Linked DNA regions of Xenopus tropicalis. The protein of the gene in region 1 interacts with the protein of each later gene in a pairwise test. Links are inferred from orthologs where the notes say so. Each region holds a gene or a part of one and is shown in the gene's direction. Other genes may lie near its edges.

What was found.
Region 2: the proteins of cpsf7 (region 1) and smad3 interact in binary tests that used the Homo sapiens proteins (3 or more experiments, as listed by UniProt). The two-hybrid records come from large-scale screens. The link is inferred for Xenopus tropicalis from reciprocal best matches to the Homo sapiens genes CPSF7 and SMAD3.
Region 3: the proteins of cpsf7 (region 1) and nck2 interact in binary tests that used the Homo sapiens proteins (3 or more experiments, as listed by UniProt). The two-hybrid records come from large-scale screens. The link is inferred for Xenopus tropicalis from reciprocal best matches to the Homo sapiens genes CPSF7 and NCK2.
Region 4: the proteins of cpsf7 (region 1) and clk2 interact in binary tests that used the Homo sapiens proteins (3 or more experiments, as listed by UniProt). The link is inferred for Xenopus tropicalis from reciprocal best matches to the Homo sapiens genes CPSF7 and CLK2.

The regions. Positions count from the first base shown.
Region 1 is NC_030680.2:22,871,124-22,874,692, forward strand, and holds part of cpsf7 (cleavage and polyadenylation specificity factor subunit 7), read left to right. Parts: intron 1-2,934; coding exon 2,935-3,153; intron 3,154-3,569.
Region 2 is NC_030679.2:117,404,014-117,407,582, forward strand, and holds part of smad3 (mothers against decapentaplegic homolog 3), read left to right. Parts: intron 1-2,743; coding exon 2,744-2,937; intron 2,938-3,569. UniProt on the Homo sapiens protein: Receptor-regulated SMAD (R-SMAD) that is an intracellular signal transducer and transcriptional modulator activated by TGF-beta (transforming growth factor) and activin type 1 receptor kinases.
Region 3 is NC_030678.2:110,108,230-110,112,290, reverse strand, and holds the start of nck2 (cytoplasmic protein NCK2), read left to right. Parts: upstream 1-1,261; 5' UTR 1,262-1,304; intron 1,305-4,061. UniProt on the Homo sapiens protein: Adapter protein which associates with tyrosine-phosphorylated growth factor receptors or their cellular substrates. Maintains low levels of EIF2S1 phosphorylation by promoting its dephosphorylation by PP1.
Region 4 is NC_030684.2:146,294,972-146,298,540, reverse strand, and holds part of clk2 (dual specificity protein kinase CLK2), read left to right. Parts: intron 1-504; coding exon 505-680; intron 681-2,172; coding exon 2,173-2,401; intron 2,402-3,569. UniProt on the Homo sapiens protein: Dual specificity kinase acting on both serine/threonine and tyrosine-containing substrates. Phosphorylates serine- and arginine-rich (SR) proteins of the spliceosomal complex.

The DNA.
Region 1 (3,569 bases):
AATATATAGGATTGTATATTGTCAGTCAGCACAGGAATAATGCAAACTGTATATGACCAGTAGAGGGCAATGTTAAAAACATCAATGAATGTGCCTGCCGAGGCAAGACATATGGCAGCTCCTATTTATGGTTCTGTGCAACAGGGATCTATTATACTGCTTAAACATACAGGCAGATTAACTGAAGCCTGATGAAGCTGACCCTAGTGAATATGACTTATGTGATTGTGATATGGCCTTAACTTGCTATGGGACAGAGGCTTATATGAATTATGCCCAGTTTCTCTACCGCTATGGATAACATACTAATGCTGTATAAACAGTGGATAATATAGGGAGTAATTCTCACTGTTGCTGAGGAGTCCCTTGATCATATAAAAGCGTGAAATGAAGGCTGAGTGGCTTTATTCAGACCACGGTTTCTAAGGATATCATTTACAGAATATTTATGGGTTTTGGGTGCTATAATCTGATATATACCAAGTACAATATGTAAATAGGGTGTGTAGACCTGTTGTGCATAAAATCCATATAAAACTAACAACAGTCTTTGTCCTGAATAGAGAGGGTCAATGCAGGTAGGTTGGATCTCCATTCCTGTAGTTATGGGATATTCGGCATTGCAATTTAGCAACAGTTAGAGGGCTGCAGATTTGGTATTGTGAAATTATACCACAATATATATCTCTTTATCTATCTTATCTAGCCCAGGTGCTGGTTAATTATAGTCTCAGCTGCCCCCCAGTTTCTTTTGGTTTATTTTGGGGTTGGTTTGGTGTTACTTGGGGGGATCTGCAATAAGCAGAGTGTTTTCAGGCATCTGTAAGTACAGGTTGGTACTGCTACTACATATCTTGCAGTTACTTATAGCAGCATTAAAATAGGGTTTGTTTGTATTGTACAACCCTGTGGAGTAGAAATTATAGTGCAGGCCTGTCTTCATAGGGCAGAATGGATTAGTTGTTGCTATTGACACTGCAAATTGACACCTATGTTAGCATGGTAGCCACCCAGGCATCGCAGAGGTAAGAATATTCTGGCAAATTTAGCTTGTGTATATAATATATCTGTATATGATGGAGCCATAAGTTGACATACCTGAATACATTGGTCGTTGTGTTTCATCGTTAGCAGAAATGTGGTTGTGGAAGGAAATATACTTTTTGCTGCTCCTGTAGAACAGGTAGGTCTGAGAAAAAAGCTCTAGTAAAATGTCTTGACTGTGCCAGAAATAAGGCACAAGCCTTCTCTGTTGATGTCCAGCTTCCACATGTGTCTCAGCTGGGCATTGCTATTGGGTTTGTATTTGGGTTACAGCTCCAACCCTGCATCTTGGGCTTAGTCCTGCACCATCCACTTGTTCATGATATCCTTATGGGGGAGGGCTATAAGTCCTGCTAATCAAAAAGGTATGTCCAGGGAGCATGTAAAGTGCCCCGTGGCAGCCCTAGGAGCAGGACTGGGTTGGTGGGGCCCACCGGGTGTTTTTCTGGTGTCTGGCTGTCTCAGTCCAACACTGAATAGATTTTCCCTGTAGAGATGCCTATATTAGAATGTTCTGTCTGGGTAAATGCACTTACATGAGAGTGATTCATCTTTTTTGTTTAAATGGATCCTGAGTAAATGTGTTGTATCACTCCCTATGTGCATGCACTGGGCCCCAGTATTATTATTATTGTTATTATTATTAGTTTGCTGTGTGTCTGCAGTAAATGAGTGGTTAGATAATGGGAGCTATTGTAACTCTAGAACTAACTAGCTTTTCCTAGCACCTAATCTGTATAACCCTCTGGCATGTTGGGAAGTCAGTTCCTGTAAGTGAGTGATTAGCTGTGTATTTGTAGGATAATAGGGAATATAGGGATTGCTTAAGGTGCCCATACACTCACAATATTCTCGTACAAACGAGGTTTCATACGCTATTCGGTGCATGTATGGTGGGCTGACTAGGCGACCGGTATCGCAAAAGCTTTGGATAATGGTCGTCTTGTCCATCGGTCAGGTCTGAAAATTTTTATGTTGCCCAAACATCACCTATACGTTAATGGTGAATCATCAGATATGCAGGTAGAAACAACAGGAATTCTACCCCTATCTGACCATTCAGCTCTTAATGTTAGTGGAGTGGACAAACAATTTTTTCTGCAAGAAAGATTGTTATTATAACTTGTACTTGTCCACCTTTACTCTCTTGCTGTTGCAGTTTTGGCTTGAAAAAGAAAAATAGTCTATTTTTATACGTAGGTTTTATATTCCTAAATGTGCAAAGCTCCAGTCAGACATGGATGTACCATAGAGCTTGCATATAACATGCACATGCATTCCCCTATAAGATAGATATACCGGTATATGTCTTTGATAAAGACCAACACTCTCATATTTAAATTAACAAAAGTTTCTTTATTTTACCACTTGTGTGCAGTGGTTCAGTCGTCATTAGGACCATTAATCTAGGATCCTTGTGGTATGTGAAATAAAGAAACTTATCTTTTAAATATGGTATAAGAGAGCTGTCTGATTGCATTTCTGGTTGACTGTACACCTTGAGGAATTGTTTGGAAACTAGTGCATACATGTGTGAATATATATATATATATATATATATATATATATATATATATATATATATATAATATAAAAAATCTTTCATTGAACTGGTCCTTATGCTGCAACTACAACACAATAACTAGATTCCATGAAGCATGCTGCCCTTTTCATTCTGCTTAACACCTGTTCCTTCTTTTCCCCTTTCAGCTTAAAATAAATAATACATTTGTTTTTATATATAAAATGCCATCAGCGCATTCTCTGAACTGTGTAATATATCCTGCAATCCCCTTATTAGTAGTAGCCAAAGGTGTGTTGCTATGGCTGTTCTGCTTTAATTTGCCTGTATAATTTCATTTTTAAGCTTGTGCTACACCTTTCTTATAGGAGTCGGAGTTTGCTGCTGAGCAGGTAGACCTGTATGATGATGTGTTGGCTGTGCCAGCGATTTCCTCCTCGCATGTTGAGAGCAACAGGAACAGCAGTGCCCTGGAACCAACATCTCCAGTACAGAGCACTTCTCCTATGTCAAACAACAAGACTCCTGAAGTCCTGTACCACAGTGGGCGCAACAGGGTGTCCATGTACATCGGAAACTTCTCGTGGGTAAGTGATGGGTCAGGGAGACTAACTGACACTCGGATAGAAGGCCCAACCACTAGCACAGTATTATATTCAGTCCCCAGTAGTTGCAGGGCTTCTGCTCTTATAATCTGTCACTTTATAATCAAGGAGTAAAGCATAATGGGGCACTATAGCCAAGAGACTAAAGTGCTATTAGAAAAATAGAACTGTTTATGGACTCTGATTCTTGTACTAAACCTTAAAGGTCATGGAAAGTATGCATGGAGGCAATGTTTACCATAAACCCATAAATGATATTCATTTTTGGTTGTATTAATATTTACTAAAATTAGAATTAAATACAGTTTGATATAATGAGATTGGTATAATCACAAAACAGGGTCACATCTAGAAAAACCAGAAAGCAGGGTTGAAATTATTGCAATTCAGTTAAATGC
Region 2 (3,569 bases), on another chromosome or scaffold:
CGATTTTTCCGTATTTTGCGCGACTTTTTCGTTGCCGTTACGACTTTATCATATATTTTCCGCGACTTTTTCGTCGCCGTCGCGAAAAATTCAGATTGGTTTTACAATCTCAATACGAAATTGCTCAATACGAAAAAATCGCGCAAAATACGATAAAGTCGTGGCGGCGACGAAAAAGTTGGGCAAAATAGGAAAAAACCGCGACAGAGACGAAAAAGTCGCAAAATTTTAGTTTCCAATCCGGATTAGAGGATTAGTTAATGTTCCCCTTTGTGTTGTAGATAGTTAGCACAATAAATATACTTTTGTCTTCGTTCACAGTACATGTTATATTTATTTTACACCTAGTGGTGGTTTGAAATTGGCCTTTAAAGGCACAGATCTCCTGCTTTGGTAGATACTAGTTTGAGGATGACACAGGGGAGCCCTGCATTGCGCAGAGCATATAATCCCTTACACAGAACATTAGAGCATTGGCTGATCAGCTTCAGATCCCTTACACATTGGGTAATTTGGGTCTAATTAATCACCCATGATTATGTGCGCATGCACAAGAAATGCATCAGGCAAATTGTTTTAGATGAGTGAATAAAATTATGTTTTAACTGACATCGGGCAATGGTTACGGCGTTTGATTGAAGCTGTTCATTTTCATGGATGGTTATTGCTCCTTTAAGCTACAGCTTCAGGGCTTCTGGAACCCGGACTACCCATCGGCAATGGTGAGTTTTAGAAGTCGTTAGAAGCTTTCCCTCTTTACAGAATAATTTGAAACAAGCAACAGACCCGGGGTCTTGTGTACACCCGGGTCAACATTAATTTTGGGTATGACTCTACTAGAATCTGTTATTTCTTTACTTACATACTTGTTTGCTATAATTATCTTAACTATTTTTGTTTTGTATTTGGAGTGAGCCTAATAAACCTCTCTTTTACGCATTTGGCTTTTGATCGAATTAATCGACATTGCAAAAATGTTTGGAAATATCCCAAATTTAGGAGAAGCAGATTGCATTGACAACTGTACCCTCAAAACCCCCTAAAAATCCTCAAGCATGCTCATGTGCCCTTACTCTTTTAACTCAACCTATAATTTTTTTTTGGCACAGATACTTGTGCTACTTTATGCCCTTATATTTATTGTTTCTGTGTTTTACTTTGTCTGCACTGTTTATCTTATCAAACCAGAACACCCCTTTGTGACCTGTCACACATCCTGTATGTTTCCTTATTCCTTCCGATTGATATATAGATTCCACAGAGCTCATCTCCAGGGTGTGAACGAAACAATAACTCTGATCAATAAACTTGCTTCAAAATAAAACACTATTTCTATTGCGCTATTTCAGAGTAGTAAAAAGTGCAAAGTATAGTCCAGCAAAGCTCTTTCAAATCAGCACAGCCAGGGTCATTCTTTTTAAATTAAAGTGTTTATAAAGTGAAAAAGTAAGTCTGTTTGCAGGTTCCCCTTTAAAAAATAAAGGTGTAATTGAGGTGCTCTGTGTTCATTAAAAAATCTGTATCATCCTGCCATCCAGAACATGGAGCAGCACTGATGGTTTTGAAGCTGTGCAGCCACTTTCTGTCTGAAGATTTATGCATTGAGTAACCAGAGTGAGTGGAGCAAATGGGATAATTGCAGGAAGAAGATCGTGTTTTTTTTTATAAAAATGGTACAGATGTTGTAATAAATGTATATTGAAGACAGTTTTATTTTTTAATGAAGAAACTGCAAACTGTTAATTTTTCACTTTAGAACACTTTTAACTTCTAGTATGACATAGACCGTCAAGTTAACATAAAGATGATTTACCCAATTAAAGTGATATTCACATTTGCGCTTTTCACAATTCTGCCATATGTTCATGTAAATATATATTCTTAACATTCAAGGCTATGATCTTAAGTCTGTTTAGACTGTTGAGTCTGTGTACTGAAGTCTTCTTTTTTTAATGTCATGGTTTAAGGAAGGGTATTTCTGTGTGGATTTCCTAGCCACTTGCTATCCAAGCAGTGGACTGTATTGAATTGTAGGAGGCAACAAAACACTGCAACGACCCCCTCCTACACACACACACACAAACAAAATTCAGAAGGGAACGTTGCCAGGATGTTTCTAAAATATATATGTTATATGGGTGGTAAGTGTATAATTCAGTACACTGGTTCCAGATTGGTCCCTATTTAAAGAAATGGTTGCTAATTTTGTGCCCTTACACTTTGTATTTTTATGCATTTTCTTCTATCTATTGTAGGTACTATAATATTATAGTCATTTTATGTAAAGTATATTTCAATTTTTTTAAATAAAAAAACTCAAGTTTCTTATAGTATGGTAATAGTGAAGCAACACCAGATTTATAATTTCTTGCATTAGTTATCCTGTGTACCTCCTGCAAATTTGCATTTTGAAAACTGTTGCTCAAAATGCACAAGGCGAGAAAGTTGCAGCTACAAAAAAGTAAAAAAGCAGCTGCTTACTTAAGATTTCTGTAGAGTTGCAGCTGCAAAGTTGCATCTATATGGGATTCCATAGACCTCAGACTATGAACCTCTGCAGTTTGCATAGTGTTCCATCAGTGCTGCAGAAAGAAACAGTTACAGTTGGAATAAAACGAACATTAACATGGTGTTTTAATTCAGGAAGACAAAAAGAATTTTGTTTTCTAGTAACAGTGGAGTTGGTTGCACATTTTGCATCCCTGGTAATTACATTACACATTCATTTGACTTTCCTATGCAGGTCTCTGGATGGAAGGCTCCAGGTGTCCCATCGCAAGGGTTTGCCCCATGTCATATACTGCCGCCTTTGGAGGTGGCCAGATCTACACAGTCACCACGAACTTCGAGCCATGGAGGTGTGTGAATATGCCTTCAACATGAAGAAAGACGAAGTGTGTGTGAATCCTTATCACTACCAGAGAGTGGAGACTCCAGGTATAGGTTCTACATCCCAAACTTTTATAGCCACTCACACAAGCAGATCACAGTCTTAATTAATAAGAGGTATTTCAGTATTTGTTACAGTCAGCAATAGGGAGGAATCTACAGAATAGCTTACATAAAGCCATTTATGAGGTAAAAGGTGGGGCCTCCTTCAACAATAAAATCTTTTTATAAAAATAAAAACGTGTAAAAAGAATCATGTTTCTTGATACAAGGAATAAGGAAGAGCAATAAATTGGGGGGAATTTCTGTGAAAAGCTATGCAACAGTGCAAAGAATACCAAGATGTTGTCATGGAACCCTACAAGAAATTTGAAGAAAAACTTTAAAAATATTAAGAGATAAAGTTAGTGGTAATGAAACAAGTGGATGTTGTGAAACACTGACAAGTTCTGTATTCAAATAATGTAGTATTGGACGTCTTGAAAAATTTGAAGAGAGCATAATATACAAACTGTACTGTACGTGTGCTGGTTGCTGGGCAGAAATTAAACTCTGCTAAGCTGTATAGTAGAAACAACTGCAAAATGACATTATGGAGTTCTAGAACTGAAGGCATATGTTTCAGCAGTGATTGGATTCAAAGGTAGAGATTGTGAGGTACTAGAAAGAATAATTCATAT
Region 3 (4,061 bases), on another chromosome or scaffold:
TTGCTGCCCCTGGTAAACTTGAGGGCTGCTGCTGCCTGAGACGAGTTTCTCAATTCGCCTTATGGCCGCAGTGCCCCTGTATAATAAAATATGTTTTATGGTTGGACAGCTTTAGTCCACAATAACTATAATGACTATTATGTAGCTTGGCACCCCAAAAGCGACTATACATTTATAAAAGATTTCTAATAAGTACCATTTGTGAAAATAATTATAATATGGAGAATTGTTCATCTAATGAAAATACTAGCATAGATTAGGGGGCACATTTACTAACCCACGAACGGGCCGAATGCGTCCGATTGCGTTTTTTTCGTAATAATCGGTAATTTTGCGTTTTCTTTGCGATTTTTTCGGCGTCTTTACGATTTTTGCGTAAAAACGCTAGTTTTTCGTAGCCATTACGAAAGTTGCGCAAAGTCGCGATTTTTTTCGTAGCGTTAAAACTTGCGCGAAACGTCGCGCCTTTTAAGTTTTAACGCTACGAAAAAGGTGCGACTTTGCGCGCAAGTGTTAACGCTACGAAAAAATCGCGACTTTGCGCAACTTTCGTAATGGCTACGAAAAACTCGCGTTTTTCCGCAAAAATCGTAAAGACGCCGAAAAAATCGCAAAAAATACGAAAAAATCGCAAAAAATACGAAAAAAACACAAAATTACCAAAAAAGTCGCAAAATGTTCGTTTCCAATCGGAATTTTTCCAATTCGGATTCGAAATCGTGTCTTAGTAAATCAGCCCCTAGGTGTATACACAAACTTTATAAATATTGTGATGTCAACAGCTTGTGCACTGCTTCTTTTTCTTTTTTTGATGAACATCTTAATATCTACATTAATTTCAGGTAGCTAAAATATGAAAGTGTGTATCAGTGGCTTTTCGAGACAAGGCTCTGATGGCAGCAGGTACTGTTGGCAACAAGGACAAAGTCTTTCTTTCGTTCCCTGTCACAATTCAGAACTCCGACTAGAAAATATGAATGACTTCTGAGGAAACATCGGGGGCAGAGGCGGCAGCGAGCATGGCGGTCACCCAACACCAAAGAAAAGTCTTTTTTCTTTTGTTCTCTATCAAAAGTAGGAGGTGCGAGCATTGGAAAAAGAGATTGGGAGCTGACCAACCGCGGCTGCCTAGCAGCTTCCCACCGTGTAACACTGAGCCAGGCCGGCTCGTCACTCCCACAAGGCGGCGCGCCAATGTGTCAGTGCGTTACGTGTAGCGGCGATGCCAGTCTCGCGTGAGGAGAGATGTGGCGCTGGGAGTGTGTGTAGGACCGGAGCCTGCAGTAACAAGCTCTTCGGGAGATGTAAGTAGCGATACGGGACTAAGGGCTGTGTGAGGAACAGCGGGACTGTTGCAGTATGCACTTACTTCCAGACTTGGGGAGGCAGGGCGGGAGCTGGGGTACCAGCATGTTCTTTCCCATACATAGGTTTCTGTACCAGTGGTTTTGTGACAGAAGCTTTAGTCCCGGTAGAGCTGGATTGGTTAAGCTGGGGGTGAAGTTCAAACTCCCTCCTACCCTATTCAGTTCCCGGGACTAAAACTTCTGTGACAGAACAAGCAGAATACAAGCTGTGTAGGAGAAAGAACATGCTGGCACCCCGCTCCCGCCCTCCCTTCACAAGTGTGCAGCTCATTGACATGAACGGGCTCGGTAATCCTGCAGCGCTGCCGGTTCCCTTTAGGACCCAGAAGTCACCCACCCATTCGCCACCGATGCTGGCCCTTCCTTTGAGGGTCCCCAGGCAGCTGCTTCGCGCACTGAGCTGCTGTTACATGCGAATGATTGTATTCAGTGTGCGGGTCTGTAGCGCTGCATATTGTCTGTGTGAATACATTAGTGCGTGGGGGAAGCCTTTGTGCTATTGCCTTTACTTTCTGGCGTGTAAGTTCTTGCAATAGGGACTCTTTTTTTCAGTGCAGTTGTAAATGAATTCGATCCTCGCACAATAAATGAGTTGAAGGCGGGGATGGGGCGCAGATTTAGCGCACATTGATATTAAAGCTGAGTGGTTGTGATAAGTGCAAAGCAGGGCCAACCTGCAGCCCCACAGTTGTTTCCTATCATGCACCACCTCCAGCATGTGGCAGCTAGGTGTATGTGGGCTGGCATGGGCTGCTGGGAATTAGAGTTCAAAGGCTAAAGAAGGTTGGACATAACTGAGGGCTGCTGAATTTGGGCATTTTAGGTTTTATTGGTGGGGTGAATACCCTTCTATTATCACATATTCTCAGTATTAACACATTTGCTGCTGGATTCCAAGCTGTCTCTGGATGCAATGTCAGCACTAGAACTATTCATCAGAAGTGTTTATTCTGTTGAGCAGCAGCACACAACACTATGGGATTTATTTATATTGCTGTGTACGAGTATGTGGAGTGAAACATTACCGGTGATGTTGCTCATAGCAGCCAATCAGGTGCTTTGGTTTTCTAACTGTTGAAATCTGCTTGCTGATTGGTTGCCTTGGGCAATATCACTACTTTTTACACAGCAAGATAAATATACCCCTATGTGTGATGCCATGTGTTGGCAGGAGTGGTGTAAAGATCTATGTCACTGGACTCCAAGGAGGTGGAAGATGCCTCTCTCAAGGCATGAATCATTCCTCGCATTTGCCCGTCTGACTTAGTCTAGTCTGGGTAAGGTAGATGCAAGTAGGACTACTACCTGCTTGAATGTGTAAGGGTGACAATAAAGCTGGAAATGAATAGGTGTCTGGGTCCACTTTTTAATGGTCTGGGATAGGGTTCTTGGTCTTATTAAAAGCAAAGCTTAAAGCTTCAGTGAACAATGGCATTCTTGATCATTTCTTTCTTTATACTTTGTGGCAACAGTTTAGGCAAGGTCATTTTATGTCTAGTATATTAATACCCATCTTGCACAAATTGGTTTGCTGAGATGCAAGCGAAAAAGATTGATCTCAATCCAACTGATCACCTCTGGGTACAGCCCCCTCCTTGGCTCCTAATAAGTTTACAAATATAAGTACACATGCACTTACTGAAATTCTAGGCATGCCCAATATAGTTGATAAGCATTTACTCTTAAGGGTATGGCCATGCAAGGTGAATTGTTAGCCTGCATATAAAATAAATGCCACCCCTGCCATCTTAGTTACATTACCCAGGTGTCCTGCTTTAGATTTAGACTGAGATGTATATGCAGTAGGGTAAAAATTTCCATTTGTACTCTGCTGAGGTAGAAATACCTGATACTGCAGCCAGTATATAGCATTCCTAACATATTGGCACCATTCAGTGAATCAGGGTTTCCTTATCCAAAATTGACTTTAAGGCTTGGCCCTCCCTTCTAGTACTTCTAGTACTTCCCTGTGAGGCCATACCCACAGTTTGGCAACTACTGTTGCAGGATGTGTATCCACATGCATCTGAAATATTAATGTGCATTGCATTAAACACATAGGGTGTATGTTTGTTTGTTTTTTTCAATATGATTATAAATGCACAATATTTTGTCCATGCTTGTAGTTATGTATGTGTGACAGTAGTATGTATAAGTGATCACTTTATACAACAACTAGGATATTGCCATGCATACATTGTAAAATGTAACTGCAGATGGAGAAAAGGAATGTGTTTCAGGTAGCAGGTAAGCTTTTTTTCTGTTTTTAGTCTCCTGATACAGAGATTCTTTTTCAGTATTCTGTGTTCCACAGTCTCTCCATGTTCACTGGCCATTTGTGGTGTGTTTAGATTCAGTGGGTGGCAGCAGATGTTGAAATATACATAGGCTATAAATGTGCTTTCACAGACTGCATTGCAAACTTTGGTTTACAGCTGATTGAAAACAGAGCAAGGAGCATTAAAAATACAGTGCAATGCAGGTGCTTACGCACAGTCTTGTGAGTATGATGCTGTAGAACAACATGTGTTTATTTTAAGATCACTTTTTATGCAGTTGTTCTATAGATTTTGAACTCAATTGGCATAGCAGATGGCCGATATATTATTATGGTACAGTAGCTTTAAGGGGCATGGATCTCTACACATAAAAAAAAAAAAAAAATACACTACAGGTATTAAACATTATAGGACT
Region 4 (3,569 bases), on another chromosome or scaffold:
GTAGGGGGTGCCATAGTGTTTCCCTTAGACAGTACAGTATGGGGGTACAGCTTATTGTGTGCCCAGAACATTCCTTCTCTGTATATTTGTATTTATACATATGGGTAGGGGCTACCATAGTGTTTCCCTTAGACAGTACAGTATGGGGTACAGCTTATTGTGTGCCCAGAACATTCCTTCTCTGTATATTTGTATTTATACATATGGGTAGGGGCTACCATAGTGTTTCCCTTAGACAGTACAGTATGGGGGTACAGCTTATTGTGTGCCCAGAACATTCCTTCTCTGTATATTTGTATTTATACATATGGGTAGGGGGTGCCATAGTGTTTCCCTTAGACAGTACAGTATGGGGGTACAGCTTATTGTGTGCCCAGAACATTCCTTCTCTGTATATGTGTATTTATACATATGGGTGGGAGGTGCCAGTGGGCGGGGCATGTTACTGATAAGAGTGAGTGCATGGGTTAGTAAATGACTAACATATTTGCCCCTTCCCTGTAGATGCCGCACTCCAGGCGGTACCGTTCTTCAGAGAGGGGCAGCAGGGGCAGTTACCATGAGCGTTACAGAAGCCGAAAGCACAGGCGGAGAAGAAGCAGGTCACGGAGCAGTAGCAGCGACAGAGGACGTGACCGCAGGCACAAGCACGGTGACAGTTACCACGAGAGGTCACGCAGGTAATGGGGCAGCTTGGGGTTATGTGTATCTGCAGTGGGAGCTATAGCCCCTGGGGGGGCAGCTTGGGGTTATGTGTATCTGCAGTGGGAGGTATAGCCCCTGGGGGGGCAGCTTGGGGTTATGTGTATCTGCAGTGGGAGCTATAGCCCCTGGGGGGCAGCTTGGGGTTATGTGTATCTGCAGTGGGAGGTATAGCCCCTAGGGGGGCAGCTTGGGGTTATGCATATCTGCAGTGGGAGCTATAGCCCCTAGGGGGGCAGCTTGGGGTTATGCATATCTGCAGTGGGAGCTATAGCCCCTGGGGGGCAGCTTGGGGTTATGTGTATCTGCAGTGGGAGCTATAGCCCCTGGGGGGCAGCTTGGGGTTATGCATATCTGCAGTGGGAGCTATAGCCCCTGGGGGGGCAGCTTGGGGTTATGCATATCTGCAGTGGGAGCTATAGCCCCTGGGGGGGCAGCTTGGGGTTTTGTATATCTGCAGTGGGAGCTATAGCGCCTGGGGGGGCAGCTTGGGGTTATGTATATCTGCAGTGGGAGCTATAGCGCCTGGGGGGGCAGCTTGGGGTTATGTATATCTGCAGTGGGAGCTATAGCCCCTAGGGGGGCAGCTTGGGGTTATGCATATCTGCAGTGGGAGCTATAGCCCCTGGGGGGCAGCTTGGGGTTATGTGTATCTGCAGTGGGAGCTATAGCCCCTGGGGGGCAGCTTGGGGTTATGCATATCTGCAGTGGGAGCTATAGCCCCTGGGGGGGCAGCTTGGGGTTATGCATATCTGCAGTGGGAGCTATAGCGCCTGGGGGGGCAGCTTGGGGTTATGTATATCTGCAGTGGGAGCTATAGCGCCTGGGGGGGCAGCTTGGGGTTATGTATATCTGCAGTGGGAGCTATAGCCCCTGGGGGCAGCTTGGGGTTATGTATATCTGCAGTGGGAGCTATAGCCCCTAGGGGGGCAGCTTGGGGTTATGCATATCTGCAGTGGGAGCTATAGCCCCTAGGGGGGCAGCTTGGGGTTATGCATATCTGCAGTGGGAGGTATAGCCCCTGGGGGGCAGCTTGGGGTTATGTGTATCTGCAGTGGGAGCTATAGCCCCTGGGGGGGCAGCTTGGGGTTATGTGTATCTGCAGTGGGAGCTATAGCCCCTGGGGGGCAGCTTGGGGTTATGCATATCTGCAGTGGGAGCTATAGCCCTGGGGGGCAGCTTGGGGTTATGTGTATCTGCAGTGGGAGCTATAGCCCCTGGGGGGCAGCTTGGGGTTTTGTATATCTGCAGTGGGAGCTATAGCCCCTGGGGGGGCAGCTTGGGGTTATGTATATCTGCAGTGGGAGGTATAGCCCCTGGGGGGGCAGCTTGGGGTTATGTATATCTGCAGTGGGAGCTATAGCCCCTGGGGGGGCAGCTTGGGGTTATGTATATCTGCAGTGGGAGGTATAGCCCCTGGGGGGGTAAATGGTGAGTTATGTGTGAACCTTCCTGTCCCTTCCCGCCCAGTTACGAGGAGCGCTCGTCGAACAGAAGAGCTTACGATCGGCGGTACTGCGACGGCTACAGGAGGAATGAGTACAGCAGGGACAGGGGGGACGTGTATTACGAGGCAGACTATCGCCACTCGTACGAGTACAAGCACTCGCGGGAGGACAGCTACAGGAGCTGCAAGAGCGCTCGGCGCAAACAGAAGCGGAGAAAGCGCAGAACCAGGTCTTATAGCCAGTCCTCATCGGTGAGTACCCACCCCGACCCCACCCTAATGCCCCCCCTTTGTTTTTAGGGTGGTTTAGAAGAGCCGGTAAGTACTCACCCACTCCTGTGTATTTCTCATGTTTATACCCGGGCCGTGCTTATTGCTGTCTGTCGGGGGATGGGACTGCTCAACTGACCCCTCCCCTTCTGTAAATCTCTGCATGTGAATGAGCCCCACAGCACTGGGAGTCGCAGGGGGCTGTATGTGTGGGTATATTATTATTATTAACATTTATAAGGCGCCAACATATTCCGCAGCGCTGTACAATAAGTATAGGGCCTGTATGGCATGCACCCCTGAGAGCTGTGGGTGCTGGCTTTAACCCTTAGCCTGCTGGCTTTGGGGCTCATCAGTGCTACCAGCTTAATCCAACCTTTTGGATGGGTTTATACTGGGTTTGGCACCAGTGCCAACCTGATCTGCCTGAATAACCCATACGTGTGGCTCCTGGGAACTTGGGCTGTTTGCCCTCATTCCTTAGCCAAACCTGGGGTTCTTTCTATCTCTGCTATTCCCTTGCAAATTCTCTTTGCACTGGTGGGTGTGTGGGGGCCACAGGGAACCCCAAATTCATAGAGGGATACCATCTCCCTCCGGCCTCAGGGCCTGGCAGGGCAGAGAGTGACTCCTGCGCAATCATTAGGATCTGCATGCTTTGGGCCTGGGGCATTGCCTTATTATATAGTGTAATTGCACCTGTGCTGCCAATGGGCTGGGTATGCTGAGGGTAGTGCCCCTGTGCTGCCAATGGGCTGGGTATGCTGAGGGTAGTGCCCCTGTGCTGCCAATGGGCTGGGTATGCTGTGGGTAGTGCCCCTCTGCTGCCAATGGGCTGGGTATGCTGAGGGTAGTGCCCCTCTGCTGCCAATGGGCTGGGTATGCTGGGGGTAGTGCCCCTCTGCTGCCAATGGGCTGGGTATGCTGAGGGTAGTGCCTCTGTGCTGCTAATGGGCCGGGTAGGCCGAGGGTAGTGCCCCTATGTCCATGCAATGTCACTGCTGGATAATGCAGTTCAGCCGGGCATTTGCCTGTACTTGCCCCAATGCTAATGTTTCTCTGGCCCAGGCAGGGGGTGTAATATGTTGCCCAGGGAAGTGCCAGGGGGCAGAAGTGCTTGGGGTACCGTTAGCTCACTAATTCTGTCTGA